Linked DNA regions of Anolis sagrei. The protein of the gene in region 3 interacts with the protein of the main gene of each other region in a pairwise test. Links are inferred from orthologs where the notes say so. Each region holds a gene or a part of one and is shown on either strand. Other genes may lie near its edges. The genes, in order: SYP, HTATIP2, SH3GLB1 and ARFIP2.

Region 1 (7,848 bases), on a different chromosome or scaffold from region 3:
TGCAAGTTGCATCTGGTGTGAGAGAATTGGCCGTCTGCAAGGACGTTCCCCAGGGGACGCCCGGATGTTTTGATGTTTTACCATCCTTGTGGGAGGCTTCTCACATGTTCCTGCATGAGTAGCTGGAGCTGACAGAGGGAGCTCATCCACGCTCTCCCCGGATTCGAACCTGCGACCTGTCGGTCTTCGCTCCTGCTGGCATAGGGGTTTATTTAACCCACTGCGCCACGGGGGCTCCTATATCATTCACTGCCCAAAGATAATTTCACATCAGATCCATTCCTTATCCTGTTATTTCTCAAAATTTCTAAAGGGAGAGAGAGGGGAAGCTGCAATTCTACAGAGGAAAATCTGGAAAGAGGGCTTATTTCTTAGCAAACCTCCTAAAGACTGAGTTATGGGGAGAAAAAAGACAATCCAATGAAATAGCTTCTTGTGGGTTTTTTCGGGCTATATGGCCATGTTCTAGAAGCATTTTCTCCTGACGTTTCTCCAGACTACCTCTGAGGATGCTTGCCATAGATGCAGGTGAAACGTCAGGAGAAAATACCTCTAGAACATGGTCATATAGCCCGAAAAAACCCACAAGAACCTATTGATTCCAGCCATGAAAGCCTTCGACAATACATTAATCCAATGAAATCCCGTAGCATTTCTTCAAATGTTTCACAACCCCAGGATCCAAACCTTTTCCCTTCCAAGTGGTGCTTGATATAGATCTTAGAGCACTTGCGACAACTCTATAGATTTCTGGACGTTCTCTCCCTTGCAAATCCTGATTAAATCTCTTTACTCATGGCCCTCAGGTCACTCCAGGCCTCTTCAGAGGCTCTATTTCCTCTGAGGCACACCAAGGCCGGCACACAATCCTCCGCATCCAACTCTGTGCTTTCCGAAGGCTCCATCTGGACTTTCTTCCACCTTCCTGGAACATTTGCTCCATCTTCTGTGCTAAAATTACACGACATTGCGCCACCACCTCCTCCTCCTCCAGGCCAGCTGCTTTCGGGAGTGAGGAGCAACCCCCACCTTCCACAGCGACACCCCATAAATCCCTCCCCCCCTTTTTTTTGCTTCCTTCCCGCAATGCATCCTGCTGCAATTGCTCCAGGGATCAGAGACAAGAAGACGCCCCTGAGGCATCATCTCCTCCTCCTTCTCCTCCTTCTCATCATCATCATCCTTGCTTGCCTCCCAATGCCGATATGGCATGTCACCACTCTACTCCATCCCTTCCTTGGCTTTGTTTGTTTGTTTATGGAGAGTTATTATCAAAACAACATTGAAGCAAGCCTGACACCATCCCTTCGTTTGCCTTGAAGTTCCTCTGTGGCCATATTGATGCCTTCTCCCACCATCTGGTGCCTCTACCCTCCATATTGAGACATGGATGGGAAGCCCCTGCCACACTCATAACAGTAAGGACACAATGGCTTCTTGTGGGTTTTTTTGGGCTATATGGCCATGTTCTAGAGGCATTTTCTCCTGACGTTTCGCCTGCATCTATGGTAAGCATCCTCACTACCTCTGAGGATGCTTGCCATAGATGCAGGTGAAACGTCAGGAGAAAATGCCTGGATGGGAAGCCCCTGCCACACTCATAACAGTAAGGACACAATGGGTTCTTGTGGGTTTTTTTGGGCTATATGGCCATGTTCTAGAGGCATTTTCTCCTGACGTTTCGCCTGCATCTATGGCAAGCATCCTCACTACCTCTGAGGATGCTTGCCATAGATGCAGGCGAAATGTCAGGAGAAAATGCCTGGATGGGAATCCCCTGCCACACTCATAACAGTAAGGACACAATGGGTTCTTGTGGGGTTTTTTGGGGCTATAAGGCTATGTTCTAGAGGCATTTTCTCCTGACGTTTCACCTGCATCTATGGCAAGCAGCCTCACTACCTCTGAGGATGCTTGCCATAGATGCAGGCGAAACGTCAGGAGAAAATGCCTCTAGAACATAGCCTTATAGCCCCAAAAAACCCACAAGAACCTATTGATTCCAGCCATGAAAACCTTCGACAATACAAGGACACAATGTCTTCAACAACAAGGATGGTGATGAGTTTGGTTGCGACGAGCAGCTTAGATTCAGATCCTTCCATCCTCGCCTTCCAGAATTAATTACGATGTTGAGTCCTCTTCTTCCCCAGTCCCCAGCTAGCATTATGATGACGAATCCATCTTGCATACTACAGATCCCTCTGCTCTTCTCCATACGGCATTTTCTACCTGCCTGGGGGTATTATTGACTAGCCTCAGGGCAGGGATATCATTGCCCGCCCTGTGCCCATCTGTTTACATGGGCATCCCAGTCAGGCTGTCAGTCAGTCCCTCCTCCTTTGGCTCCCCAAATGCGGGCCAGCCGTGGCGTAGCTTTACTGCATCGCCCCAGCCATTTTGGCTTCTTCCAACCCATCTGCGGCAAAATATTCCAGCTCAAACCCCCCCATATTTAGTAAATAAGATTCCTCTTTCAAATCATCATTTCCAAAGGAAGGATGGGGAAGAAAATCCAGCTCCATCTCTTTTATTTATTTGCTCTGTATCCAAGGCACCCCTCTTCCTAATCCCCCCCCCCCAATGCCTACTGCAGCAATGTCATAAGAGAACAGAATGCCTTTGCTTGGCTGCAGATCCTTCCCTAGATCTGACCCCCCCCCCCTCCCCACAAGGAGAAGCAGAGGGAGGCATTGTTCTGCTCTCAGGATAAATCTCTGCAGGGATTATTATTGCAGGGAGGAGGAGGATAGTGGGGGTTTATGGGAAAGGGGGGGGCAAAGGATGAAGGTGAAGTGGGATTTCCGCAACACTCCCTCCATTCTCCCCCCCCCCCCCCATCCGCAAGCAAGGCGCCTTGGGGAGCTGTCCCTGGTGCTGAAACCCTCCGCCGCTTACCTGATTGACGACTTCCATCTTTGCTTGGGGAAAAAGCGAGGGCGACGCAGCAGAGCGCAGGGGAGGTTGGGACCGGCGGGAGGAGGAGCCCTTTATCTGGAACAGCCTCGGAGGGCGGGGCCAAGGGAGGAGGAGGGGGGAAGAGAGAGAGAGGGAAACAGTGGAGGGGGGATGCTGGAAGAGCTCAGGGGTGACGTCACTGAAGCCAAACAGGAGCCATGTTCTTCATGGGCGCAGGGATGGGAAATGGAGGCTTGGCTTGGTTGGGGGCATTGGCAAGGCTGAAGGAATCAAACTCACAGAATTTCTAAAAGCACCCTCTCATTGGGCCATATGAGGGGTGCCATTTTACTATGCCAAAATAACTGTAATAATAATAATAATAATTAATAATTTATTTATTTATTTATTTGCTTTATTTTTATACTGCATTTTTCAGCCTAATTCGGCGACTCAATGCGGTTTACAATGCAGTTTATTACAATACAATTAGTTAAAAACACAGTATACACAGCGGACAATACAAACAACACAACAACACAACATAGTCATCAACGCCTCAGTAAAAATCAGATTCCGTTCTCGTAATCCTTCTACCATTCCTTGTTCATTTATACCGTCTTCATGAGTTCAATTGCCATGTTGACCAAACGCCTGTTCATAGAGCCACGTCTTGACCTTCCTCCGGAACTCCAGCAACGAAGGGGCCTGCCTGATGTCTACGGGTAGGGCATTCCATAGCTGAGGGGCCACCACCGAGAAGGCCCTGTCCCTCGTCCCCGCCAGTCGCGCCTGCGATGCAGGCGGGACCAAGAGCAGGGCCTCCCCGGACGATCTTAACATCCTCATCGGTTCATAGGTGGAGATGCGTTCGGAGAGGTAAGCCGGGTAATAATTAATAATAATAAGTTTCGGCCACTCTGATGGCCGAAAGCGAGGAGGAGCTGAGGAGCCTTCTAATCAAGGAGAAAGAAGAAAGCGCAAAAGCCGGGTTGCAGCTAAACATCACAAAAACCAAGATTATGGCAACAAGAATGATTGACAACTGGGAAATAGAGGGAGAAAACGTGGAGGCCGTGACTGGCTTTGTATTTCTAGGTGCAAAGATTACTGCCGATGCAGACTGTGACCAGGAAATCAGAAGACGCTTACTTCTTGGGAGGAGAGCAATGTCCAGTCTCGATAAAATAGTAAAGAGTAGAGACATCAGACTGGCAACAAAGATCCGCCTAATCAAAGCCATGGTATTCGCTGTAGTCACCTACGGATGTGAGAGCTGGACCTTAGGGAAGGCTGAGCGAAGGAAGATCGATGCTTTTGAGCTGTGGTGTTGGAGGAAAGTTCTGAGAGTGCCTTGGACCGCGAGAAGATCCAACCAGTCCATCCTCCAGGAAACAAAGCCCGACTGCTCACTGGAGGGAAGGATACTAGAGACAAAGTTGAAGTACTTTGGCCACATCATGAGGAGACAGCAAAGCCTAGAGAAGACAATTATGCTGGGGAAAGTGGAAGGCAAAAGGAAGAGGGGCCGACCAAGGGCAAGATGGATGGATGGCATCCTTGAAGTGACTGGACTGACCTTGAAGGAACTGGGGGTGGTGACGCAGACAGGGAGCTCTGGCGTGGACTGGTCCATGAAGTCACGAAGAGTCGGAGACGACTGAACGAATGAACAACAACTACAATAATTAATAATGTAGTGTCAAAGGCTTTCATGGCAGGAGTCTACCGTATACCATGCAGCTGTGGACAAGTCTACATAGGGACCACCAAACGCAGCATTGCCCAGACACGCATCAAGGAACATGAAAGGCACTGCAGACTACTGCAACCAGAGAAGTCAGCCATAGCAGAGCACCTGATGAACCAACCTGGACACAGCATATTGTTTGAGAACACAGAAATGCTGGACCACTCTCACAACCACCATGTCAGACTACACAGAGAAGCCATTGAAATCCACAAGCATGTGGACAATTTCAACAGAAAGGAGGAAACCATGAAAATGAACAAAATCTGGCTACCAGTATTAAAAAACTCTAAAATTACTACAGCTAAACAGCAGAGAGGAAACAACCAGGCACATCTTAACACCTCTCAACAGAACATTTTCCCAGGATCAGCCAGGTCTTCAAATGCTAATGAAGGGTTCAGCTGAAACATTCACACCTAGCTTCAGCAGAGAGCTCTTTGCCCCACCCCAGTCATTCCACAGATATATAAACCCATTTTCCTATTTCCAACAGACCTCACTACCTCTGAGGATGCTTGCCATAGATGCAGGCGAAACGTCAGGAGAAATGCTCCTAGAACATCGCCCTATAGCCCGAAAAAACCTACAAGAACCTAATAATTAATAACAATAATTGGGTTGTTGTAGGTTTTTTCAGGCTATATGGCCATGGTCTAGAGGAGGGGTCCTCAAACTAAGGCCCAGGGCCGAATACGGCCCTCCAATGTAATTTACCCGGTTCTCGCTCAGGGTCAACCTAAGTCTGAAACAACTTGAAAGCACACAACAACAATAACAATACCATCTCATCAGCCAAAACATCAAGCAAAAAGTGGGTGCTACAAACAACATCATACGAAACCTAGGGATCACAACCAGACACAGTGAAGACAACTGCCCTTGCGCTGTGCTGCTCTGCTGCTGAGTATGCATGCCCAGTGTGGAACACATCTCACCACACTAAAACAGTGGATGTGGCTCTTAATGAGACATGCCGCATTATCACGGGGTGTCTGCGCCCTACACCACTGGAGAAATCACACTGCTTAAACGGTATCGCACCACCTGACATCCGCCGGGAAGTAGCAGCCAATAGTGAAAGGACCAAGGCAGCGACATCTCCAGCCCATCCCTTGTTTGGGTATCAGCCAGCATGTCAACGACTTAAATCAAGAAATAGTTTTCTAAGATCTACAGAGACACTCGCTGGAACACCTCAGCAAGCGAGAGTCCAAAAGTGGCAGGCTCAAACCCAGAACCTCAACCAATGGCTGATACCAAATGAGAGACTCCCCCCTGGGCACAAAGAGGACTGGGCGACTTGGAAGGCGCTGAACAGACTGCGCTCTGGCACCACGAGATGCAGAGCCAACCTTAAGAAATGGGGCTACAAAGTGGAATCCTCGACATGCAAGTGTGGAGAAGAGCAAACCACAGACCACCTACTGCAACGCAACCTGAGCCCTGCCACATGCACAATGGAGGACCTTCTTGCAGCAATACCAGAGGCACTCCAAGTGGCCAGATACTGGTCAAAGGACATTTAATCAACAACCAAGCTCACAAATTTTGTATTTTGTCTGTTTGTTTGCTTTGTTATGTTAGAAATGTAATATAATTGACTGGTTGCCCTGACACAATAACTATTTATCGTGTCAGGAGAAACCAGACAGTTGTATTACATTTTTAACAAAACAAACAAACAAACAGACAGACAGACAGACAAAACACAAAGTTTGCTAGCTTGGTAGTTGATTAAATGTCCTTTGACCGGTAGCTGGCCACTTGGAGTACCTCTGGTGTTACTATAAGAAGGTCCTCCATGGTGCATGTAGCAGGGCTCAGGTTGCATTGTAGTAGGTGGTCTGTAATTTTCTCTTCTCCACACTCGCATGTCGTGGATTCCACTTTGTAGCCCCATTTCCTAAGGTTGGCTCTGCATCTCGTGGTGCCAGAGCGCAGTCTGTTCAGCGCCTTCCAAGTAGCCCAGTTTTCTGTGTGCCCAGGGGGGAGTCTCTCATTTGGTATCAGCCATTTGGTGGCCCCTCAGCTATGGAACGCCCTTCCTAGGGACATTAGATTGGCCCCCTCCCTCTTAACATTCTGGGAAAGAGTCAAGACTTGGCTGTTTGAGTAAGCATTTGAAAATGCAATGAAAAAAACATAGGAGCTTGGAACTATGTATTAGTGTTTGAAATATTTTATGATGTTCTTGGACATCGAATTGTTGCCTCTATAAACCACCCTGAGTCTCCTGAGGGCTGAGAAGGGTGGTATACAAATATAGCAAATAAATAAATAAATAAATAAAATTAGTCGGTTCTTGTGGGTTTTTTCGGGCTATAGGGCCATGTTCTAGAGGCATTTCTCCTGACGTTTCGCCTGCATCTGTGGCAAGCATCCTCAGAGGTAGTGAGGTCTGTTGGAATTAGGACAGATCTCACTACCTCTGAGGATGCTTGCCATAGATGCAGGCGAAACGTCAGGAGAAATGCCTCTAGAACATGGCCCTATAGCCCGAAAAAAACCCACAAGAACCGAGTGATTCCGGCCATGAAACCCTTCGACAATACAAATAAAATTAGTATTTCTCTTTTGGAATTCTTTTTTAAAAATATATTCCAAGCTCTGGATGGTTGAATTATTGGATGAGGAATCCGTGGATAGGGAGGGCCAGCTGTATATAACTCCATCTGAGTGTGCCTGAGGCTTTGGGTCATGAGAGCAATGAAAAAGCTCTCTGGCCTCCAGGACACTTCCAGTCTAACATTTAACAAAAGGGAAACAACACAGAGAGGAGAGCAAGGGGTAAAACCATTCCTTTTTGAAGGCAAAACAAAAGGGAGAGGAGCTATAAAATGGAGAAAAAGACAGCTAAGAGTACTACAACTCCAAAACTCAAAGTCAATGCCCACCAAAACCCAATATTTTCTGTTGGTCATGGGAATTCTGTGTGTCAAGTTTGGTTCAATTCCATAGTTGGTGGAGTTCAGAATGCTTTTTGATTATAGGTGAACTATAAATCCCAGCAACTACAACTCCCAAATGACAAAATCATAATTTTTTGAGTGATGGTCACTCCTTGTTTTGTGAGACGTTTTGTTGCCAAATTTGGTGTGATTTCGTTCATTGGTTCTTTTGTTTTTAAGGTACTCATTATGCACAAAGCATATATATATATATATATATATATATATATATATATATATATATATATA
Region 2 (7,258 bases), on a different chromosome or scaffold from region 3:
ATAGCTCAATATTATGGGAGCTGCAATTTTACAAGGTCATTAGCCTGCCACAGTGTTGGTGTTTCATCAAACTACAACTCCCGGGATTCCATAGCACATGGCAGTTAAAGAGGCGTCAAGCTGTAGTCATTGCACAATGCAGATGCGCCTTTGATGGACCTAGTGGGAGTTCAATATACTTCAGAGTAGATGTGGACATGCGTCCTGTGTTAGGCTAAAATTGTGACCCTAGGCATGTTTATTCATATCCAGGCACCATTCATTTCTATGGTGCTTCCTTACTGGGCAATTGGAAACAGTCTGAACTGGGCTATTCTACATTTCCAAGGCACCTAAGGAATACTGCTGGATACTGTAGACATGATTGGCCATGCACAGCCCTTTCCAGAGGTCCTCCCAGCCGCAGGACGCCTTTCAAGGCTTTGCTTAGATTGTACAGCCGGCCCTCCATATCCACGGATTCTGCATCCACGGATTCCACCTTGAAAATAAAATAAAATAAATCCCTAAAAGCAATCTTTGATCTTCCCACTTTAAACAAGGGACAATCTACCCTTTTACTATGCTTTTGAACACAATGGGACTTGAGCCTCCATGGATTTTGGTATCCATGAAGTTCTGGACTAATTGTTCAATGTAACCACAAAGGAAAATATAGGATAGCCTGCTCACTCCCTTCTGTTCAATAGGAGAGACCACTAACCTCATAGAGGCAACTATCACAATCAGCCCCAGTTGTTTCAAACCTTGCTTGGACACATCTACACTGCATTATTTATTTATTTACTTACAACATTTATATCTCACCTTTCTCACCCCGAAAGGGACTCAGAGCAGCTTACAAGTTATATGTACTTACAATATATAATATTATTAGCATAGCACAATATTAGTATTATATATTACTATATTGTACTATACCACTATACTGCAATATTATTAGTAATATTACATGCAATATGAAATATATAGTTATTACATTGAATTATTATTAGTATTATGTTGTGTTACATTATAATATTCTATGTGTATACAATATATTATATTATTAGAACATTATTAGAACAGCACAATATTGGTATTATATATTACTATATTGTACTATACCACTATACTGCAATGTTATTAGTAATATTACATGTAATATGAAATATATAATTATTATATTGTATTATTTTTAGTATTATATTGTATTACATTGTAATATTATATGTGTATACAATATATTAGAACAGCACAATATTAGTATTATACATTACTCTATTGTACTATACCATGTAATATTACATGTAATATGAAATATATAATTATTATATTTTATTAGTAGTATTATTATATTGTATTACATTATAATATTATATGTGTATACAATATATTATATTATTAGAACAGCACAATATTAGTATTATACATTACTCTATTGTACTATACCATGTAATATTACATGTAATATGAAATATATAATTATTACATTGTATTCTTATTATTATTATATTGTATTACATTATAACATTATCAATATTATATGTGTATATAATATATTTTATTATCAGCACAGCACAATATTAGTATTATATATTACTATATTGTACTATACCACTATACCACAATATTATTAGTAATATTACATGTAATAATAAGTGGGTTATTGCACTGTGGGTTAAAGCACTGTGCCGGCAGGACTGAAGACCGACAGGTCGCAGGTTCGAATCCGGGGAGAGGCGGATGAGCTCCTTCTATCAGCTCCAGCTCCTCATGCGGGGACATGAGAGAAGCCTCCCACAAGGATGATAAAACATCAAAAATCATCCAGACGTCCCCTGGGCAACGTCCTTGCAGACGGCCAATTCTCTCACAACAGGAGCGGTTGCTCCTGATACAACGATGAGGAGTATTATATTGTATTACATTATAATATTATCAATATTATATGTGTGTACAATGTATTATATTATCAGCAGAGCCCAATATTAGTATTATATAGTACTATATTACTATATTGTCCTATTTCTGCCAACCTAGCAGTTCGAAAACATGCAAATGTGAGTAGATCAATAGGTACAATATTATATTTTTATTAGTAGTATTATTATATTGTATTACAATATTATGATCAATATGATATGTACATACAACATATTATATTATTAGCATAGCACAATATTAGTATTATGAATTAATTAAAAATAATAGAATTAATTAAATATGTAGAATTAATGCAATTTAACCACTTTAATTGCCATGTCTTAATGCTATGGAATCTTGGGAGTGGTAGTTCTACAAGGTCTTGACCCTTCTCTGCCTAAGAAGGCTGGTGCCTCACCAAACTACAAATTCCATTAATGCAATATTATGCAATTTGACCCCACTTTAATTGCCATGTCTTAATGCTATGGAATCTTGGGAGTGGTAGTTCTGCAAGGTCTCAACCCTTCTCTGCCTAAGAAGGCTGGTGCCTCACCAAACTACAAATTCCATTAATGCAATATTATGCAATTTGAACTCACTTTAACTGCCATGCCTCAATGCCATGGAATCCTGGGAGTGGTAGTTCTGCAAGGTCTTGTCCCTCCTCTGCCTGAGAAGGCTGATGCCTCACCAAACTACAAATTCCATTAATGCATTATTATGCAATTTGACCCCACTTTAATTGCCATGTCTTAATGCTATGGAATCCTGGGAGTGGTAGTTCTGCAAGGTCTTGATCCTTCTCTGCCTGAGAAAGCTGATGCCTCATCAAACTACAAATTCCATGGCCTTGATCCATGACAGTTAAAGGGGAGTCAAACTGCATTAATTCTACAGTGTAGATGCACTCAGGGATGGGGAAGCATTAATTAAAGGAGTAGGCAAGCAGGAGGAGAAAGGGAAACTGCAGATCCCCCTGGAGTAAAGGGGGGAGAGGAAGGAAAGCCTCACCTGCAACAACAGTGGAGAGTCTCCTACCAAGAAAGAGTCGCCCACTCTTCTTCCGGGTGTGCCTGCCTGGACTCACTGCGCAGGCGCAGATTGCAGAACTTTGTTTTCCTTTGCAGGAGGGAGGTTTGCTCAGCAGTGATCCAGAGATTAAAATTATGTTGCAATGAAGGGCGAGCCTGGGAGGAAACTGCAACAGTATATTGTTGTTTTTTTTCCATCTCTTTGTATTCTGCCCCCGCATTGCAAAGAAAGAACTTGCAAAGTCATCTCACAGTGTTCTTTTGCTTAAGAAAACTATGAAATTTATGGAGTTACCATAAGAGTAAACTGAATACACACATAGAGCCAGGGTATTTATTTATTATTTATTGAAAACTTTTATATCCCGATTTTCTCACCTCTGTAGAGGGACTCAGACCGGTTTACAGCAAGAATTCAATGCTACTAATACAAGTTAAAACATAATACAACAATACAAGATTAAAATACATATATACCAAATCACCAAGGTAAAATCATGTTCAACTCAGTCCGCATATGTGGTCACTCACTTTGGTCTGTAACCAGTCTCAGACATTATTCTGGGAATGCTTCATTCCATAACCAGGATTTCACTAGCCTCCTGAAGGACGAGAGGGAGGGGGCAGATCTGATCTCGCTCAGGAGAGAGTTCCATAGCCGAGGGGCCACCACAAAGAAGGCCCTGTCTCTCGTCCCCACCAAATGCACTTGCGAAGATGGTGGGAGATCTTAACGTCCTTGATGGTTCATAGGGGAGAATACGACCCCTCTGTTACGCCAGCTCCACTGGCTGTCGATCAGCTTCCGGGCACAATTCAAAGTGCTGGTTTTGACCTATAAAGCCCTAAACGGCTCTGGCCCAGTTTACCTTTCCGAACGGATTCTCCCCTATGAACCACCGAGGCTATTAAGATCTTCCGGGGGAGGCCCTCCTCTCGGTCCCACCACCCTCACAGTCACGGTTGGTGGGGATGAGAGACAGGGCCTTCTCGGTGGTGGCTCCCTGGCTTTGGAACTCCCTCCCACTAGAGGTTAGATCTGCCCCCTCCCTCCTGACGTTCAGGAAATCACTAAAAACCTGGCTCTGGAATGTGGCATTCGAGGACTGAACCTAGAACCTTCCCTATGATGAATTATGATGAACTGTGACCACGAACATGACTATGACTGACTGGATTGACGATTTGGTGTAGGAAACTGTAATGATGTAATGATGTAATGATAATGATGTTTTTATTGTACTGTGTTGTACTATTTTAATACCTGTGGTTTTTATATGATTGTACTTTATATATGCTGTAAACCGACCTGAGTCCCTCGTCGAGGTTGAGAAGGCCGGAATAGAAAACCTCTAAATAAATAAATAAATACGTTCGGACAGGTAAACTGGGCCGGAACCGTATAGGGATTTATAGGTTAAAACCAGCACTTTGAATTGTACTCGGAAGCTAGTAGTAGTAATTGTATTGATTAGCCCTTAGGCCATATCACAATAAGAAACAGAACAACAAGGCCTGACAAGACTTGATCACACTCCACATAGTAAGTTAAAATAATACACTTATAACATTCAGAAGCTAATTGGCAGCCAGTGGAGCTGGCGCAACAGAGTTGTGCGCTCCCTGTACCCAGCTCCCATCAGTAGCCTGGCTGCCGAGCGCGGGACTAATTGCAGCTTCCGGGCAATCTTCAGGGGCAACCCCACATAGAGAGCGTTGCAGTAATCTATACGGAATGTAACCAGAGTGTGGACCACCATGGCCAAGTCAGACTTCCCAAGGTACGGGCGCAGCTGGCACACAAGTTTTAACTGTGCAAAAGCTCTCCCGGCCACCACTGAGACCTGGGGTTCCAGGCTCAACGATGAGTCCAGGATCAGTCCCAAGCTGCAAACCTGCGCCTTCAGGGGGAGTGTAACCCCGTCAAGCATGGGCTGTAACCCTATGCCCTTTTCGGACTTACAACTGACCAGGATTACCTCTGTCTTGTCTGGATTTAGGATACTACACTTGGAGGACCATCATCCTCGGACTACGAGGGATCGCTTAAGTAAGTAAGTAAGTAAGTTAGACACACATATAGATCTACATGGTACCCATAAGGGCCCCAATATCCTATAAAGCAGTGTTTCTCAACCTGGGGGTCGGGACCCCTTGGGTGGTCATGAGGAGGTGGCTTAGGGGTCACCAAAGACCATCAGAAAACAGTATTCTCTGTTGGTCATGGGGGTCTCTGGTTGGTGGGGTTCAGAATGCTCTTTAATTGTAGGTGAACTATAACTCCCAGCAACTACAACTCCCAAATGTCCAGGTCTATTTTCCACAAACTCCACCAGAATTCACATTTGGCCATCTTGAGTATCCATCCCAAATTTGGCCCAGATCCATCATTGTTTGAATCTACACTACTCTTTGGATGTAGGTGAACTACAACTCCCAAACTCAAGGTCAGTGCCCATCAAACCCTTCCTGTATTTTCTGTTGGTCATGGGAGTGCTGTGTGCCACTTTTGGTTCTATTCCATCATTGTTGGAGATTTAGAATGCTTTTGATTGTAGGTGAACTATAAATCCCAGTAACTACAACTCCCAAATGACAAAATCACCCCCCTCCCCAACCCCACTAGTATTCAGATTTGAGCTTATCGGATATTTGTGCCCAGTTTGGTCCAGTGAATGAAAATACATCCTGCTTATCCTATATTTACATTACGATTCATAACAGTAGCAAAACTACAGTTATGAAGTAGCAATGAAAACAATGGTATGGTTGGGGGACACCACAACATAAGGAACTGTATTAAGGGGTCACGCCATTAGGAAGGTTGAGAAACACTGCTATAAAGGGACCAGATCCCATCTCATTTTGGAAACTAGGCAATGTGTAGCACACTGCTGGTATATTCCTTATATCGTTTGTTGAAATTAGAAATATATTCAGTTGAATCAAGAACCCACTGCATATTCTTGTGGCTAATCAAGATCTGTACAAGGACCAAGTAGCAACAGTAAGAACTGACCACGGAACAACAGACTGGTTCAAGATTGGGAAAGGCGTACGGCAAGGCTGCAGACTCTCACCCAACCTTTTTAACTTGTATGCAGAACACATCATGCGATGTGCGGGGCTGGATGAATGCAAAGCTGGGGTGAAAATTGCTGGAAGAAACATTAACAACCTCAGATATGCAGATGACACCACTCTGATGGCCGAAAGCGAGGAGGAGCTGAGGAGCCTTCTAATCAAGGTGAAAGAAGAAAGCGCAAAAGCTGGGTTGCAGTTAAACATAAAAAACCAAGATTATGGCAACAAAAATGATTGACAATTGGAAAATAGAGGGAGAAAATGTGGAGGCCGTGACAGACTTTGTATTTCTAGGTGCAAAGATTACTGCAGATGCAGACTGTGGCCAGGAAATCAGAAGACGCTTACTTCTTGGGAGGAGAGCAATGTCCAATCTCAATAAAATAGTGAAGAGTAGAGACATCAGACTGGCAACAAAGATCCGCCTAGTCAAAGCCATGGTATTCCCTGTAGTAACCTACGGATGTGAGAGCTGGACCTTAGGGAAGGCTGAGTGAAGGAAGATCGATGCTTTTGAGCTGTGGTGCTGGAGGAAAGTTCTGAGAGTGCCTTGGACTGTGAGAAGATCCAACCAGTCCATCCTCCAGGAAATAAAGCCCGACTGCTCATTGGAGAGAAGGATAGAAGAGGCAAAGTTGAAGTACTTTGGCCACATCATGAGGAGACAGCAAAGCCCAGAGAAGACAATGATGCTGGGGAAAGTGGAAGGTAAAGGGAAGAGGGGCTGACCAAGGGCAAGATGGATGGATGGGATCCTTGAAGTGACTGGATTGACCTTGAAGGAGTTGGGGGTGGTGACGGCTGACAGGGAGCTCTGGCGTGGGCTGGTCCATGAGGTCACGAAGAGTCGGAAATGACTGAACGAATGAACAACAACATAGTCATCAGCTGGGCACAGTAAGTTTACAAACTCTGATTTAAATGTTTCCAACCTGGGTTTTTTTTATCAATCTTAAATTGTTCAGTCATTTTCCTGTAGGCAAACTGTTTCATAACTCCCCTTTATTAAGTCCTTTCTCATCTTTAACCTATATCTATCATCTACTACTGTTGACAAATGTTGACAAATGTTTATAGGTCAGCAAGTTTACTTGTAAAGAAATGTCTGTTCTGACCAATGTTTCATATCACTGGAGTTATTCCTGACTGTTCTGGTAATGATGGGATTCCTGTTGCTGAAGCAATGTGTAAAGTGGTCCTTCCTGCAATGGAAACAGACCAATGTGACCTCTTGC
Region 3 (7,580 bases):
TGCACAGGTGAGTGGAATTGGGGCCAACTTTGTGTAGGATGTGAGCAAGAGGGTTGTCTTATACATTGTATTGTATGTGATATGTGCGGTATGTGTACTGTCTGTAAATAATTTTATAAGTCCTTCCAAGAAAACCCCAGTGATAGGTCTGAAATGGCTTGAAGGCACATGGGATTGAAAGAAGTCTTAGACCCACTATATTCTGCTCAGCTTAGATCTCACCTGGAATGACAAGTATCTAGTTCTGGGCACCACAATTCATGAAGGCTATTGACAAGCTGGAATGTGTCCAGAGAAGAGCGACCAAAATGGTCAAAGGTCTGGAAGCCAGGAGAGAGCTGTGTATGTTTAGCTTGGAGAAAAGAAGGCTGTGAGGGGACATGAGAGCCAGGTTTAAATATGTAAAAGGAGGTCATACTGAGGGCCCTTCCACACAGCCATATAACCCAGAATATCAAAGCAGAAAATTCCACAATATCTGCTTTGAACTGGGACGTATGGCAGCGTGGACTCAGATAAACCAATTCAAAGCAGATATTATGGGAGTTCCTGCCTTGATATTCTGGGATATAGGGCTGTGTGGAAGAGCCCTGGTCTATCTGAGTCCACGCTGCCATATATCCAAGTTCAAAGCAGACAATGTGTATTTTATTCAGCTGTGTGAAAGGGGCCTGGGGAGGGGGCAAGCATGTTTCTGTTGCCTAGGACACGGACTAATGGATTCAAATGGAAAGAAACATGATTCCACCTAAACATTAAGAAGAATTTCATGATGGTAAGAGCTGTCTGACAGTGCAATGTGTTATATCCAAATCCTTAATAGTAAATCGTTCTTATTCTCATTGCTGCTACATGATATTTGCACTTTACTCATTAGCTCTATTTTCTAATGTTGTGGCACCAGTCCGCCCACCCATGACAAGACTCTGAACTTTGCTGTTGGTTGTTGGTTTGATGTTCATTTTATATACTATTTAATGTGTTATGTTTTAACTGTTCTGTTGGGCTTGGTCCCATGTAAGCTGCTCTGAGTCCCTTTGGGGACATGGAGGCGGAGGTATAGAATCATAGAATCAAAGAGTTGGAAGAGACCTCATGGGCCATCCAGTCCAACCCCATTCTGCCAAGAAGCAGGAATGTTGCATTCAAATCACCCCTGACAGATGGCCATCCAGCCTCTGTTTAAAAGCTTCCAAAGAAGGAGCCTCCACCACACTCTGGGGCAGAGAGTATAAAAATGAAGCTGTTATTTTTATTATTATTATTTGAAATACAAAAAGATTAATACACAGCAAACAAAGTCACTCTGCTGGCTGTTGTATTGGATCACACGTCAGACACTTCCCAAGTGTCTAGGACTGTATGATGTATCAGCAAATAATGCATGCAGATCCCACTAGGGTGGCCTTTTGCAGCTGACAGGTGGTAATTTTGTCAGCACCAATTGTGTTTAAGTGCAGACCAAGGTCTTTAATCTTATTATTACCCTTACGTGGTGTAGTGGTTTGGGTATTGGACTCAGAGACACAACACGGGTTCGAATCCCCACTCAGGCCCTTATTATTATTATTATTATTATTATTATTATTATTTGAAACACAACAAGTTGAGTCCACAGCAGACACTCTGCTGGCTGTTGTATTGGATCACATGTTGGACACTTCCCAAGTGTCTAGGACTGTGTGATGTATCAGAGAATAATGCGTGAGGATTCCAGTAAAGTGGCCTTCTGCAGCTGGCAGATGATAATCTTGTCAGCACCAATTGTGTTTAAGTGCAGACCAAGGTCTTTAGGCACTGCATCCAGTGTGCTGATCACAACTGGGACCACCTTGACTGGCTTGTGCCAGAGTCTTTGCATTTCAATCTTTAAATCCTCATATCGTGTCAGCTTTTCCAGTTGTTTCTCTTCAATCCTGCTGTTGCCTGGGATTGCAACATTGACCATCCATACTTTGTTTTTTAACACGATTGTGAGGTCAGGAGTATTGTGCTCCAAAACTCAGTCTGAATTATTATTATTATTATTATTATTATTTGCTGCCTAGAAGCATGGTGGAGTCTCCTTCTCTGGAGCTGTTTAAGCAGAGGCTGAATGACCATCTGTTGGGAGTATTCTGATTGTGTTTCTGCACAGCAAGGGGTTGGACTGGATGACCCTTGGGGTCTCTTCCAATTCTATAATTCTATGATCACGTAAAAGGAAAATCTGCATATTTAGCAAGCGAAGAAAATGCTAAACAGGGCCCACCTTAGGACTCTTTACAAAATGGTGTGTCCCTATACAGATAAGGCAAGTATGAAGGAGGGGCGGCAAGCCAAGTCTGGCCTAAGCCCTTAGGGACACGGGAGGCCTGGAGAACAGCTGCGACCAGGTCAGTCCAACTCTCCGCCGCCAGGGCAGACGGCTGGCCGCCTCTTAAAAGGCCCAGGGCGGGGGGGGGGGGGGCAAGAGAGGACAGCTGAGCCTCATAAAGTCCCCGAAGAACTCCGAGGGGGGGGGGGGAGGGGAAAGGGCCACATCCGGGCCTGGTGAGACGCCTGCCTCGAGACCCTCCCTCAAGAAATGGCCGCCCCCTCCCTCGCGCGCGCCGTGTTTGTCTGCCAAAGGGCGCGCGCGCGCGCACGAGCCAAACAAGGGCCGCGCGCCCAGCAACGGCCCGGCCAACGCCCCTCAGCAGGCAGGCAGGCAGGCTGGCTGTGGAGGAGAGCTGTCAGGCCTACCTGCACAGCGCGGCTGAGGAAGGTGCCGGCGTCGGCCGCCAGCTTCTTCACATTGAAGTCCATAATGTTCATTTTCCTTCGCTCATCCAGGAATGGGGGTGTTGTTGCCGCCTCCTCCTCCTCCTCCTCCTTCTTCTTCTTAGGCGGCGGCGCCCGCCTGCCGCCACCTCGCTTCCTTCCCCCTCCCCACCCCCTCAGAAGCGGCCGGCCAAAGCTGTGGCCAAAAGGGTGGCGTCGGGCGCTGCCGGGCCCGGCCGGGCGCTCTGACGCCGCCGCTGATTGGGTGGAGCCGGCGGGTGGGCGGGCACAAGAGAGAGGAAGGGCAGGCCCCGAAAGCGGCCGCTGATTGGGCGGAACTGGCTGGTGGGCGGGCACAAGAGGAAGGAAGAGGCAGCCGCGCTGGGCGCAAACCCCGATGCGCTGTACTCTGGGAGGGCGTTGCCCGAGACTTCAGCGCTGGGAGACACGACTAGATACGGGTTCGAATCCCCACTCAGGGCCTTATAGTAGAACTCACAGCCATAGAACTCAGAATATCAAGGCCGAAAATCTCACAAGGCCTGCTTTGAGCTGGGTGATCTGAGTTGAGTTCCCACTGCCCACATTTTCTGCTTTCAACTGGAATATATGGATTTGGGCCCTTTCACACAGCCATATAATAACCCAGAATATCAACGCAGAAAACCCCACAAGCTCTGCTTTGAACTGGGTGATCTGAGACCTCACTGCCATATATTCCATTTCAAAGCAGATAATGTGGGGTTTTATTCAGCTGTGTGGATGTGGAAAAGGGGCCTTAGTCCATGAAGAAAATCCCAGGATCAGTGATGACTTCAAGGCACACAATGTCAGAAGCAATTTGAGCAGTCTCAGCCACTGATTGGGGTTCCCAGTTTTAGCCTGCCACTTTTGGACTCTTGCTTGCTGAGAGCCCAAAAGTGTTCCTGCGAGTATCTTTGTAGATTTTAGGAAGCTGTTTCTTGATTAAGGCGTTGGTGTGCTGGCTGGTATCCGAACAAAGGATGGGCTAAAGATGTCTCTTGGTCCTTTCATTGCTGGCAGCTACTTCCTGGTGGATGTCAGGTGGTGCGATGCTGGCTAAACTATTTAATTTATCCAGTGGTGTAGGGCATAGACATCCTGTGATAATGCGGCATGTCTCATTAAGAACTACAGCCACTTTTTTGGTGTGATGTATTCCATACTAGACATTATACTTAAAGATTTGCCATTATACTAAATGTTCTTTGACCAGAAGCTGGCCACTTGGAGTGCCTCTGGTGTTGCTATAAGAAGGCCTTCCATTGTGCATGGGCTCAGGTTGCATTGTAATAGGTGGTCTGTGGTTTGCTTTTCTCCACACTCGCGTGTCATGGACTCCACTTTGTAGCCCCATTTCTGAAGCTTTGCTCTGCATCTCGTGGTGCCAGAAAGCAGTCTGTTCAGCGCCTTCCAAGTCTCTCAGTCATCAGTGGAGGGAGTCTCTCATCTGGTCTCAGCCACTGTTCTGGGTTATAGCCTGCCACCTTTGGACTCTCACTTGCTGAGGTGTTCCTGCGAGTATCTCTGTATATCATAGGAAGCCATTTCTTCATCCAATACGTTGGCTTGCTGGCTGATATCCAAACAGAGGATGAGTCGGAAATGTCAATGCCTTGGTCAATGCCTTTCATTACACAACAACAAAAACAGCATCTTTTCAGACTAGAGTTCATTCAAGTTAGTGCTTCCTGTATGCTCTTGAATGTGGGATTTTGGTTTGGGTGCCAGGATTATTTTCCAGGTGAAGAGATTGGCATAGGAGTTGCTGTCATACTACCTAGTTTTAGGATCATCAGGGATCTCCAGTTCTGAAACTTCTATAGAACCAGTGGCCATCTACGAACAAATGGCTAATTGCTCACTGCTTCAAAACAGTTGATGGGTTTCATTTTAGAAAGCAAGGACTTTGAGGAGCAGTGTGGCTTTTTTTCAAGCAGGAGTTGAAACTCTTCTTACAAATATGAACATAACTATTCCACCTTACTCTCAAAATTGTCGTTCAAAGTGACTTAATGAATATACAGCTATGGGAAGGGAGGTGCATACTCTTTGGCAGCCACTGAGAAGGCCCTTTCTCCTGTTTCCATCAAACCTTCTTGGGCCTGAGAGAAGGGCCACTCTTGCTGATTTCTGTTGCTGCCCGAATGAGCAGTGAGGTGGGTCTGAGCAGGGACTGTTATCTCCACCTTCATTTTGTGGGGTTCTAGGCCTCCTCTAATCCGTTGCAAGGGTCTCATGCTATATCATAATTGCAAAAGATTTCAGGAAATGGAGTGAGTGGCAGATGTTGTTCTACTGCCCTGCAAGTATCAAAGATGCTTGTGGTAAATGCACACTCTGATTCATATTGCAGCTCTACTAGTTCATGAAACAACTATAATGTCAAAACAGACATCTTCTGCACTATAACAATCAATAGTTTAATTGTAAAATGTTTGTGTCTCTGTATCAGCCCTTCTAGGGTTCAGAGTACCATGACCAGTAGTAATTTAACTTTTTAATGCCCAGTGTGAAGGAACAGATGAACATTCCATATACTCTATAAATCCTTGTGAATTCAATGGGCCTTATACTCAAATAAATTGATAAAAGGATTTCTGTTGTTTTCTGCCAAAAATTATTGCTGTATCAAGTTTTGGTTGACGAACAGTCCTATTGTTATATTTACCAATAAGTACCAGGTCTTAGTATGTACCATGCAGCCATGCTGGCCACATAGCCCTGGAGGTGTCTATGGACAACACTGGCTTTTTGGCTTAGTAATTGAGATGCGCACCAACTCCCAGAGTTGGACACGATTAGACTTAATGTCAGGGGAAAACCTTTACCTTTAAGTACCAGGTAGACAACATTCAGTATCCTGTGTGGTTTCAGGGCTTTTTGTGACGGATATGCACACACTGTCAGAATGACTAAGGAATTTCTGTTGGATGAGTGCTCCATTTCTTTGCCCTACTCCAACATTGGCTTATTGCAGACCTTTGAGGCATATGACACATCTTGTTCATTCCTTGTCAGGATGTTAATGTTCATTCTTAGTGGTGCAATGAGCTGCACTGTAAATGTTTGAGGGCTCTGAGGATAAATATTTCTCAATAGTCACCGCCAGAGTGTTTCATAAGTACATCAGAACCAATGTAGCAATTTTGTATACCAGTGGGTATTTAGGAATGAAGTAATAAAAATAATGGTGGGCCATTTTTATTCCAGTAAGGCCACACTGATGGATAGATTACAAATCAGTGCACTGTAACTTTTGTTGAATAAATGTTATTATAATTCTAGTGGAACTCAAATAATGAAAAAGTCAAAATCAACAATAGCTATCTCAAATTCCACTGTTGTGTTTACCGGATTAACACCCCCCCCCCCACCCCCCGGCGAAAGAAGTGGACCACTCTTACACCCTTTTCTCACTTGTGGCAATGAATTTTCAGCAACAACAAAACCTCAAAATGTTGTACAGTTTCCACAAACTTATTTTTCTGGATTAATCTTTCCTTCTCAACCAGTCCTCAGTTCAGGTGGTCTCTCTTGGCATGATGCAATAGTGATATTGGGCAATGTTCAGAAACCAGGTGGTTACAGGAATTTTGCAAGAACCATTTCAGTATCCTTAGGCAGCAACAACTGAAAATAATCCAAACAATTAGAGTTGGCTAAGGCATCACTTTAATGCATCCATTCTCTAGTCACTCCTGACATGAAAAAAATCCATTCTGAATTAAAGCCATTGAGCAATTTTATATTTGAAGCGTCATGCACGGTGGTCATATGAACATACCTTCACAGTTTATAAGGGCACTAATTTCACAGTTACTGTTTATTCCAAGAGCCTGAATACCCTAATGGCATGAGATCATGACAGATCTTGGAAGTAAACAGAGTCTATCTTGGTGTGCAGCTACATTGCAGAATTAATGCAGCTTGAATCCACTTTAACTGCCATGGCTCAATGCTATGTAATTATGGGAGGTGTAGTTTGGGGAGGTATCAGCACTATTTGCAGAGAAGGCTAAAATCTTTTAAATCTGCAAGTCCCACGATTCCATAGCATTGAGCATGGGAGATAAACTAGTGTCAAGTTACACTAATTCTGCAATGTAGATGCATCCCTGATTAGTGCTTGGATAGAAGGCCACCATTATGAATGCACAGGTTATATTTCAGGGGAAGGACCTGGCAAAACTACTTTTGTGTATTCCTTGATTAAGTAGCCTTCTACACTGCCATATAATCCAGATTAACAAAACAGATAATCCACATTAACTACTTTGACCAGTCCAGAAGGTTAGTTTCTGGACAAAGTACAAGGTGTTGGTTTTGATCTTTAAAGCCCTACATGGTTTGGGTCCAGGTTACCTACAGGATCGCCTTGTTTTGTACAATCCGCCCCACACAATGAGGTCCTCTGGGGAGCATCTGTTCCAAACAGCCAGAACCCGACTAGCAACCATCACCCAGAGGACTTTTTATCGGCCACCCCAATGGTGGAACGACCTTCCGATAGAGGTCCGACAGCTAGATCAGATGTCGAAAATTAAAAACCATGTAAATACCTATCCCTTCCATCAGGTCTACCCAAACAGTCTTTAAGCATGAGTTTTAAACTCATGTCATGTGTTTTGGTCTCTGTCCTGTGTGATAAATGTGTATTTTACAGAAATGCTTTGATCTGTATCTTTTATGGAACTGAATTTTAATGTGTGTTTGTAGAATTCTTATAGTATTTTTGTGTTTTTAACTGTGCTGTGACCCACCTCGAGCCATGGGGAGAGGTGGGTAAGAAATAATAATAATAATAATAATAATAA
Region 4 (7,536 bases), on a different chromosome or scaffold from region 3:
GCTCAAACCCAGAACTTCAACCAATGGCTGATACCAAATGAGAGACTCCCCCCTGGGCACATGGAAGACTGGGCGACTTGGAGGGCGCTGAACAGACTGTGCTCTGGCACCACGAGATGCAGAGCCAACCTTCAGAAATGGGGCTACAAAGTGGAATCCTCGACATGCGAGTGCGGAGAAGAGCAAACCACTGACCCCCTGCCACATGCACCAGGGAGGATCTTCTTATAGTAACACCAGAGGCACTCCAAGTGGCCAGAGACTGCTCAAAGGACATTTAACCAACTACCAAACTCACAAATTCTGTGTTTTGTCTGTTTGTTTGCTTTGTTCTGTTAGAAATATAATATAATTGACTGCTTATTTATTTTATTTATTTATTTGCTTTATTTCTATACCGCATTTTTCAGCCCAAAAAGGCGACTCAATGCAGTTTGCTTGCCGTGAAACGACAAATAAATAGACACTTAGGAAAGGGATCGACTTATGATTTTGTGATATGAAACCTAGCACAGAGATCTTGTTTGCTGTGACATATTGTGGTTTTGTGTCAGTAAAATAATAATAATAATTATGGCTGTGGTTTGGCTGCATTTCCTCCTGACATTTCACCTGCTATTCGAGCACCACCACAACACCAATAATAATAATAATATTATTAAAAGTAATAAGGGTCCCTGCTTAACCCCTCCCCACCCCCACCCCCCACCCAATCTCCCCAGGTAAGCCCCTCCCTCCATTCACCTGCTCGAGGCCATTATCCTCTGAGTGGTAATAATAAGTGTCCAATAATAATAATAATAATAATAATAATAATAATAAGTGTCCATCGTGTGACCCAGTACAACAGCCAGCAGATTGTCTGCTGTAGTGTTATCCTGTTGTGTTTCTAATAATAATAATAATAATAATAATAATAATAATAATAATAATAAGTGTCCAATGTGTAATCCAATTCAACAGCCAGCAGAGTGTCTGCTGTGGACTCATCTTGTTATGTTTCTAATAATAATAATAATAATAATAATAATAATAATAATAATAGTCCTAGGCACTTGGGAAGTGTCTGACATGTGGACTCATCTTGTTGTGTTTCAAATAATAACAGTAATAATAATAATAATAATAATAATTCAACAGCCAGCAGAGTGTCTGCTGTGGACTCATCTTGTTGTGTTTCAAATAATAATAATAATAATAATAATAATAATAATAATAATGTGTCCGACATGGGATCCAATGCAACAGCCAGCAGAGTGTCTGCTGTGGACTCATCTTGTTATGTTTCTAATAATAATAATAATGATAATGATAATAATAATAATGTATTGTGGAAAGCTTTCACGGCTGGAATGACGGCTCTCTTGTGTGCTTATCCAGGTTGTAGGGCTGTGGTCTGGCACCATTTCCTCCTGACATTTCGCCTGCTATTCAAGCACCACCACAACACCAATAATAATATTATAATATTATAATATTACAATAATAATATTATGACTATGAGTAATAAGGGACCCTGCTTGACCCCTCCCCACCCCCAATCTCCCCAGGTAAGCCCCTCCCTCACTTGTGTGCTTATCCAGGTTGTAGGGCTGTGGTCTGGCAGCATTTCCTCCTGACATTTCACCTGCTGTTCGAGCACCACCACAACACCAATAATAATATCATTACTACGAGTCATACGGGTCCCTGCTTGACCCCTCCCCACCCCCCACCCACCCAACCTCCCCAGGTAAGCCCCTCCTTCAATTCACCTGCTCGAGGTCATCATCATCTGAGGGACCCCCACCACCCCCCACCCAATCTCCCCAGGTAAGCCCCTCCCTCAATTGTGTGCTTATCCAGGTTGTAGGGCTGTGGCCTGGCAGCATTTCCTCCTGACATTTCGCCTGTTATTTGAGCACCACCACAACACCAATAATAATAATACTATTAATGGTAATAAGGGACCCTGCTTGACCCCTCCCCACCCCCACCCCCACCCCCAGCCCCCATCCAATCTCCCCAGGTAAGGGCTGTGGTCTGGCAGCATTTCCTCCTGACATTTCACCTGCTATTCGAGCACCACCACAACACCAATAATAATACTATTACTGAGAGTAATACGGGTCCCTGCTTGACCCCTCCCCACCCCCCCCACACCCAACCTCCCAGGTAAGCCCCTCCCTCAGTTGTGTGCTTATCCAGGTTGTAGGGCTGTGGCCTGGCAGCATTTCTTCCTGACATTTTGCCTGCTACTCAAGCACCACCACAACACCAATAATAATATTATTACTACGAGTAATACGGGTCCCTGCTTGACCTCTCCCCATCCCACCCACCCAACCTCCCAGGTAAGCCCCTCCCTCAATTTACCTGCTCGACCGCCCCCCACCCCCCCACCCAATCTCCCCAGGTAAGTCCCCCCCTCAATTCACCTGCTACCCCACCCCCTACCAACCCAACCTCTCCAGGTGAGCCCCTCCCTCCATTCCCCTGCTACCCCACTCCCCACCCACCTAACCTCTCCAGGTGAGCCCCTCCCTCAATTCACCTGCTCGAGGCCATCATCTTCTGAGGGACCCTCACCCCACCTCACCCCTCACCCACCCAATCTCCCCAGGTGAGCCCCTGCCTCAATTCCCCTGCTACCCCACCCCACCCCCACCCACCCTCTCCAGGTGAGCCCCTCCCTCAATGCACCTGCTCGAGGCCATCATCCTCGGAGGTGGTGGAGGGTCCCATCCGCCGGGAGTCTCCGTTGCCGTGGATGGGGACCTCCATGGTGGCCGCCTTGCTCATCAGCCCCTCCGTCATCCTGGACGAGGAGCAGGAGGGGGACAGGTGAGCTTGTGTACCTGCCTCCCAGGTGCACAGGTGCGCTCTAGGCCCCTCCCTCTTCCTTCCCTCCCTCTCTCCCGGAACTGGGGCCACGTCGCCTTCCTCCTCCTCCTCCTCCGCCGCCTTGGGCCCCCGGGAGGACCGGAAGCGACGTCACGGCGGCCCCAGGGTCGGGGGGAGAGAGAGGAAGGAAGGAAGGAGTCAAGGGGGAAGCAAAGCGGAAGTGACGCAGGATGGCGGAGAGCGAGCAGCAGCAGCAACTGCGCAGCGTGAGTCTTCCCAAACAAGGGGGCGGGGCTTCCCATCCTTCCCTCCAGGCGCTTTGGACTACAACTCCCACAATTCCTAACAGCCGGGACGGCTGTTAGGAATTGTGGGAGTTGTAGTCCAAAGCGCCTGGAGGGCCCAAGCTAGGCCTTGCTTCCCTAACGCTTGGGCATTGTGGGAGTTGTAGTCCAAAGCGCCTGGAGGGCCCAAGCTAGGCTCTGAAGGAGATCTTTGCTTTCCTAACACTCTGGAATTGTGGGAGTTGTAGTCCAAAGCGCTTAGAGGGCCCAAGCTAGGCTCTGAGAGAGGGCTTGGCTTTCCTAACACTTGGGGATTGTGGGAGTTGTAGTCCAAAGCGCCTGGAGGGGCCAAGCTAGGCTCTGAAAGAGATCTTTGCTTTCCTAACGCTTAGGGATTGTGGGAGTTGTAGTCCAAAGCGCCTGGAGGGCCCAAGCTAGGCTCTGAAAGAGATCTTTGCTTTCCTAACGCTTGGGGATTGTGGGAGTTGTAGTCCAAAGCGCCTGGAGGGCCCAAGCTAGGCCTTGCTTCCCTAACGCTTGGGCATTGTGGGAGTTGTAGTCCAAAGCGCCTGGAGGGCCCTAGCTAGGCTTTGCTTCCCCAACACTTGGGCATTGTGGGAGTTGTAGTCCAAAGCGCCTGAAGGGCCCAAGCTAGGCTCTGAAAGAGATCTTTGCTTCCCTAACTCTTGGGGATTGTGGGAGTTGTAGTCCAAAGCGCCTGGAGGGCCCAAGCTAGGCTTTGCTTCCCTAACACTTGGGGATTGTGGGAGTTGTAGTCCAAAGCGCCTGAAGGGCCCAAGCTAGGCTCTGAAAGAGATCTTTGCTTCCCTAACTCTTGGGGATTGTGGGAGTTGTAGTCCAAAGCGCCTGGAGGGCCCAAGCTAGGCTTTGCTTCCCTAACACTTGGGGATTGTGGGAGTTGTAGTCCAAAGCGCCTGGAGGGCCCGAGCTAGGCTCTGAAAGAGATCTTTGCTTCCCTAACACTTGGGAATTGTGGGAGTTGTAGTCCAAAGCGCCTGGAGGGCCCAAGCTAGGCTCTGAAAAAGATCTTTGCTTCCCTAACTCTTGGGGATTGTGGGAGTTGTAGTCCAAAGCGCCTGGAGGGGCCAAGCTAGGCTTTGCTTCCCTAACACTTGGGGATTGTGGGAGTTGTAGTCCAAAGCGCCTGGAGGGCCCAAGCTAGGCTCTGAAAGAGATCTTTGCTTCCCTAACACTTGGGAATTGTGGGAGTTGTAGTCCAAAGCGCCTGGAGGGCCCAAGCTAGGCTTTGCTTCCCTAACACTTGGGGATTGTGGGAGTTGTAGTCCAAAGCGCCTGGAGGGCCCGAGCTAGGCTCTGAAAGAGATCTTTGCTTCCCTAACACTTGGGAATTGTGGGAGTTGTAGTCCAAAGCGCCTGGAGGGCCCAAGCCAGGCTCTGAAAGAGATCTTTGCTTTCCTAACACTTGGGGATTGTGGGAGTTGCAGTCCAAAGCGCCTGGAGGGCCCAAGCTAGGCTTTGCTTCCCTAACACTTGGGGATTGTGGGAGTTGTAGTCCAAAGCGCCTGGAGGGCCCAAGCCAGGCTCTGAAAGAGATCTTTGCTTTCCTAACACTTGGGGATTGTGGGAGTTGCAGTCCAAAGCGCCTGGAGGGCCCAAGCTAGGCTTTGCTTCCCTAACACTTGGGGATTGTGGGAGTTGTAGTCCAAAGCGCCTGGAGCGCCCAAGCTCGGCTCTGAAAGAGATCTTTGCTTCCCTAACACTTAGGAATTGTGGGAGTTGTAGTCCAAAGCACTTGGAGGGCCCTAGCTAGGCTCTGAGAGAGGAATTTGCTTTCCTAACAGTCGGGAATTGTGGGAGTTGTAGTCCAAAGCGCCTGGAGGGCCCAGCTGGGCTCTGAGAGAGGGATTAGCTTTCCCAAAACTGGGGGATTGTGGGAGTTGTAGTCCAAAGTGCCTGGAAGGCCTGAGCTAGGCCTTGCTTTCCTAACACTTGGGGATTGTGGGAGTTGTAGTCCAAACGTCTTATCTGTCTCCTTCCTGTTCCAGCTGCGGGACTTCCTGCTGGTCTACAACCGGATGACGGAGCTCTGCTTCCGGCGCTGCGTCCCGGGATTACTCCAGCGAGGCCTAGACGGGAGCGAGGTGAGGGCAAAAGGCGCCGGAAGTGCGGGGGAAAACCACTTCCTGTGGCTTCTTCCGCCATTCTGATCCCAGCGGTGCCTCTCTTTCCCTCTCTCTCTATGGCAGGAGGCGTGCCTGGAGGGCTGCGCGGGGAAGCTGGTCCGCTCCAATCAGCGCCTGATCTCGGCCTACGTGCGCCTCATGCCAGTCTTGGTCCAGCGCCGCCTGCAGGAGGGCGGGCCCGCCAAGCCGGAAGGGGAGGAGCCTCCCACGCCCGGAAGTGGGGACTGAAGCAATGCCCTTACTCAAATACAAACGCCTTTTCCTCCTCCAAGCCTCCTCATTGGTTGAGCTCACCCAAAGGGGAGGGACATCCTCTGCACGGCTAGAGCGGACTTCCGGAAGGGCGGGAGGGGGGACGTTAGGCTTCCTTAGCAACGCCCCTGGCAACGCTCACTCTCCTCCTCAGCAGCCATGGAGTCTCCCGCGCCAGAGAAGGGTAAAGCAAGGCCAGGGGGGCCCTGAGCATGTGCAGAGGGCATTGTGTACAGCAGTGGCTCGTTGTAGGCTTTCCTGGCTGTGTTCCAGAAGCACTCTCTCCTGACGTTTTGCCCACATGCACAGAGATAGTGAATTCAGCTTGATTAGCGTTTAATGGCCTTGCAACTTCAAGGTCTGGCTGCCTGCTGCCTGGGAGAAGATTTTCTTTTGCCCACATCTATGGCAGGCATCCTCAGAGGTTGTGAGGTCAGCTTGATTAGCGTTTAATGGCCTTGCAACTTCAAGATCTGGCTGCCTGCTGCCTGGGAGAAGATTTTCTTTCCACCATCCTGGACATCATTCCACCTCTGAGGATGCCTGACATACATGCATAGAATGCTCCTGGAACGTGGACACACAGCCCCGGAAAACTTATGGCAATCCACTGCAGAGAGTTCCACTGCTGAACGGTTCCGAGCCCCTATAAAAGAGAGGGCGGTCTAGGAACAATGTATTGTTATTATTATTGTGTTGTCAAAGGAAGGCTCTCACTGGGTTGCTGTGAGTCTTCCGTCTGGCCCTCTTCTGGAAGGAGACTCTAGTCCGCTCCACTGCAGAGAGTCCCACAGTTGAACAACTCTGAGTCCCCATGGGGAGAGACAGCGGTTTACAAATGAAGTATTATTATTATTATTGGGTTGTCGAAAGCTTTCATGACTGGAATCACTAGGTTGCTGTGAGTCTTCAGTCTGGTCCTCTTCCGGAAGGAGACTCCAGTACACTCCACTGCAGAGAGTTCCACAGTTGAACAGCTCTGAGCCCCTATAAAGAGGGCGGTCTAGAAACAAAGTATTATTATTATTGTGTTGTCAAAGGAAGGCTCTCACTGGGTTGCTATGAGTCTTCCGTCTGGTCCTCTTTCGGAAGGAGACTCCAGTCCACTCCACTGCATAGAGTTCCACAGTTGAACAGCTCTGAGTCCCTATAAAGAGAGAGAGCGGTCTAGAAATAAAGTATTTCATTATTATTGTGTTGTCAAAGGAAGGCTCTCATGGCCGGAATCACTGGGTTGCTGTGAGTCTTTCGTCTGGATCTCGTCCAGAAGGAGACTCCAATCCACTCCACTTCAGAGAGTTCCACAGTTGAACAGCTCTGAGTCCCTATAAAGAGAGAGGGTGGTCTAGAAACATTGTTATTATTATTGTGTTGTCAAAGGAAGGCTCTCATGGCCGGAATCACTGGGTTGCTATGAGTCTTCCGTCTGGACCTCTTCCGGAAGGAGACTCCAATCAACTCCACTGCAGAGAGTTCCACAGTTGAACAGCTCTTCAGTCCCTATGGGGAGAGAAGGCGGTCTACAAATGAAGGATTATTATTATTATTATTATTGGTTGTCGAAAGCTTTCATGAAACTTACGGCAATCCACTGCAGAGAGTTCCACTTCTGAACAGCTCTGAGTCCCTATAAAGAGAGAGGGCGGTCTAGAAACAAAGTATTGTTGTTATTATTATTGTGTTGTCAAAGGAAGGCTCTCATGACCGGAATCACTGGGTTGCTGTGAGTCTTCCGTCTGGACCTCTTCCAGAAGGAGACTCCAATTCACTCCACTGCAGAGAGTTCCACTGCTGAACAGCTCTGAGTTCCTATAAAGAGAGAGGGCGGTCTAGAAATATAGTATTGTTATTATTATTGTGTTGTCAAAGGAAGGCTCTCACTGGATTGCTGTCAGTCTTCCGTCTAGCCCTCTTCTGGAAGGAGACTCCACTCCACTGCAGAGAGTTCCACAGTTGAACAGATCTGAGTCCCCATGGGGAGAGACTGCGGTTTACAAATGAAGTATTATTAT

The links.
Region 1: the proteins of SH3GLB1 (region 3) and SYP interact in binary tests that used the Homo sapiens proteins (3 or more experiments, as listed by UniProt). The link is inferred for Anolis sagrei from reciprocal best matches to the Homo sapiens genes SH3GLB1 and SYP.
Region 2: the proteins of SH3GLB1 (region 3) and HTATIP2 interact in binary tests that used the Homo sapiens proteins (3 or more experiments, as listed by UniProt). The link is inferred for Anolis sagrei from reciprocal best matches to the Homo sapiens genes SH3GLB1 and HTATIP2.
Region 4: the proteins of SH3GLB1 (region 3) and ARFIP2 interact in binary tests that used the Homo sapiens proteins (3 or more experiments, as listed by UniProt). The link is inferred for Anolis sagrei from reciprocal best matches to the Homo sapiens genes SH3GLB1 and ARFIP2.

The regions. Positions count from the first base shown.
Region 1 is NC_090022.1:175,468,102-175,475,949, reverse strand, and holds the start of SYP (synaptophysin), read right to left. Parts: upstream 3,011-7,848; 5' UTR 2,917-3,010; coding exon 2,899-2,916; intron 1-2,898.
Region 2 is NC_090022.1:179,284,429-179,291,686, reverse strand, and holds the start of HTATIP2 (oxidoreductase HTATIP2), read right to left. Parts: upstream 3,006-7,258; 5' UTR 2,920-3,005; intron 482-2,919; 5' UTR 452-481; coding exon 333-451; intron 1-332. UniProt on the Homo sapiens protein: Represses translation by preventing reactivation of elongation factor eEF1A. May also inhibit nuclear import by competing with nuclear import substrates for binding to a subset of nuclear transport receptors.
Region 3 is NC_090024.1:153,435,372-153,442,951, forward strand, and holds the start of SH3GLB1 (endophilin-B1), read right to left. Parts: upstream 3,004-7,580; 5' UTR 2,797-3,003; coding exon 2,725-2,796; intron 1-2,724. UniProt on the Homo sapiens protein: May be required for normal outer mitochondrial membrane dynamics. Required for coatomer-mediated retrograde transport in certain cells. May recruit other proteins to membranes with high curvature. May promote membrane fusion.
Region 4 is NC_090023.1:1,134,012-1,141,547, reverse strand, and holds the start of ARFIP2 (arfaptin-2), read right to left. Parts: upstream 3,008-7,536; 5' UTR 2,797-3,007; coding exon 2,683-2,796; intron 2,546-2,682; exon of another isoform or gene 2,534-2,545; intron 764-2,533; exon of another isoform or gene 745-763; intron 1-744. Other genes in the region: TIMM10B (mitochondrial import inner membrane translocase subunit Tim10 B), read left to right, coding at 3,054-3,089, 5,135-5,230, 5,336-5,500; DNHD1 (dynein heavy chain domain-containing protein 1), read left to right, coding at 5,684-5,708. UniProt on the Homo sapiens protein: Plays a role in constitutive metalloproteinase (MMP) secretion from the trans Golgi network. May have important functions during vesicle biogenesis at certain cargo subdomains, which could be predominantly utilized by secreted MMPs, such as MMP7 and MMP2.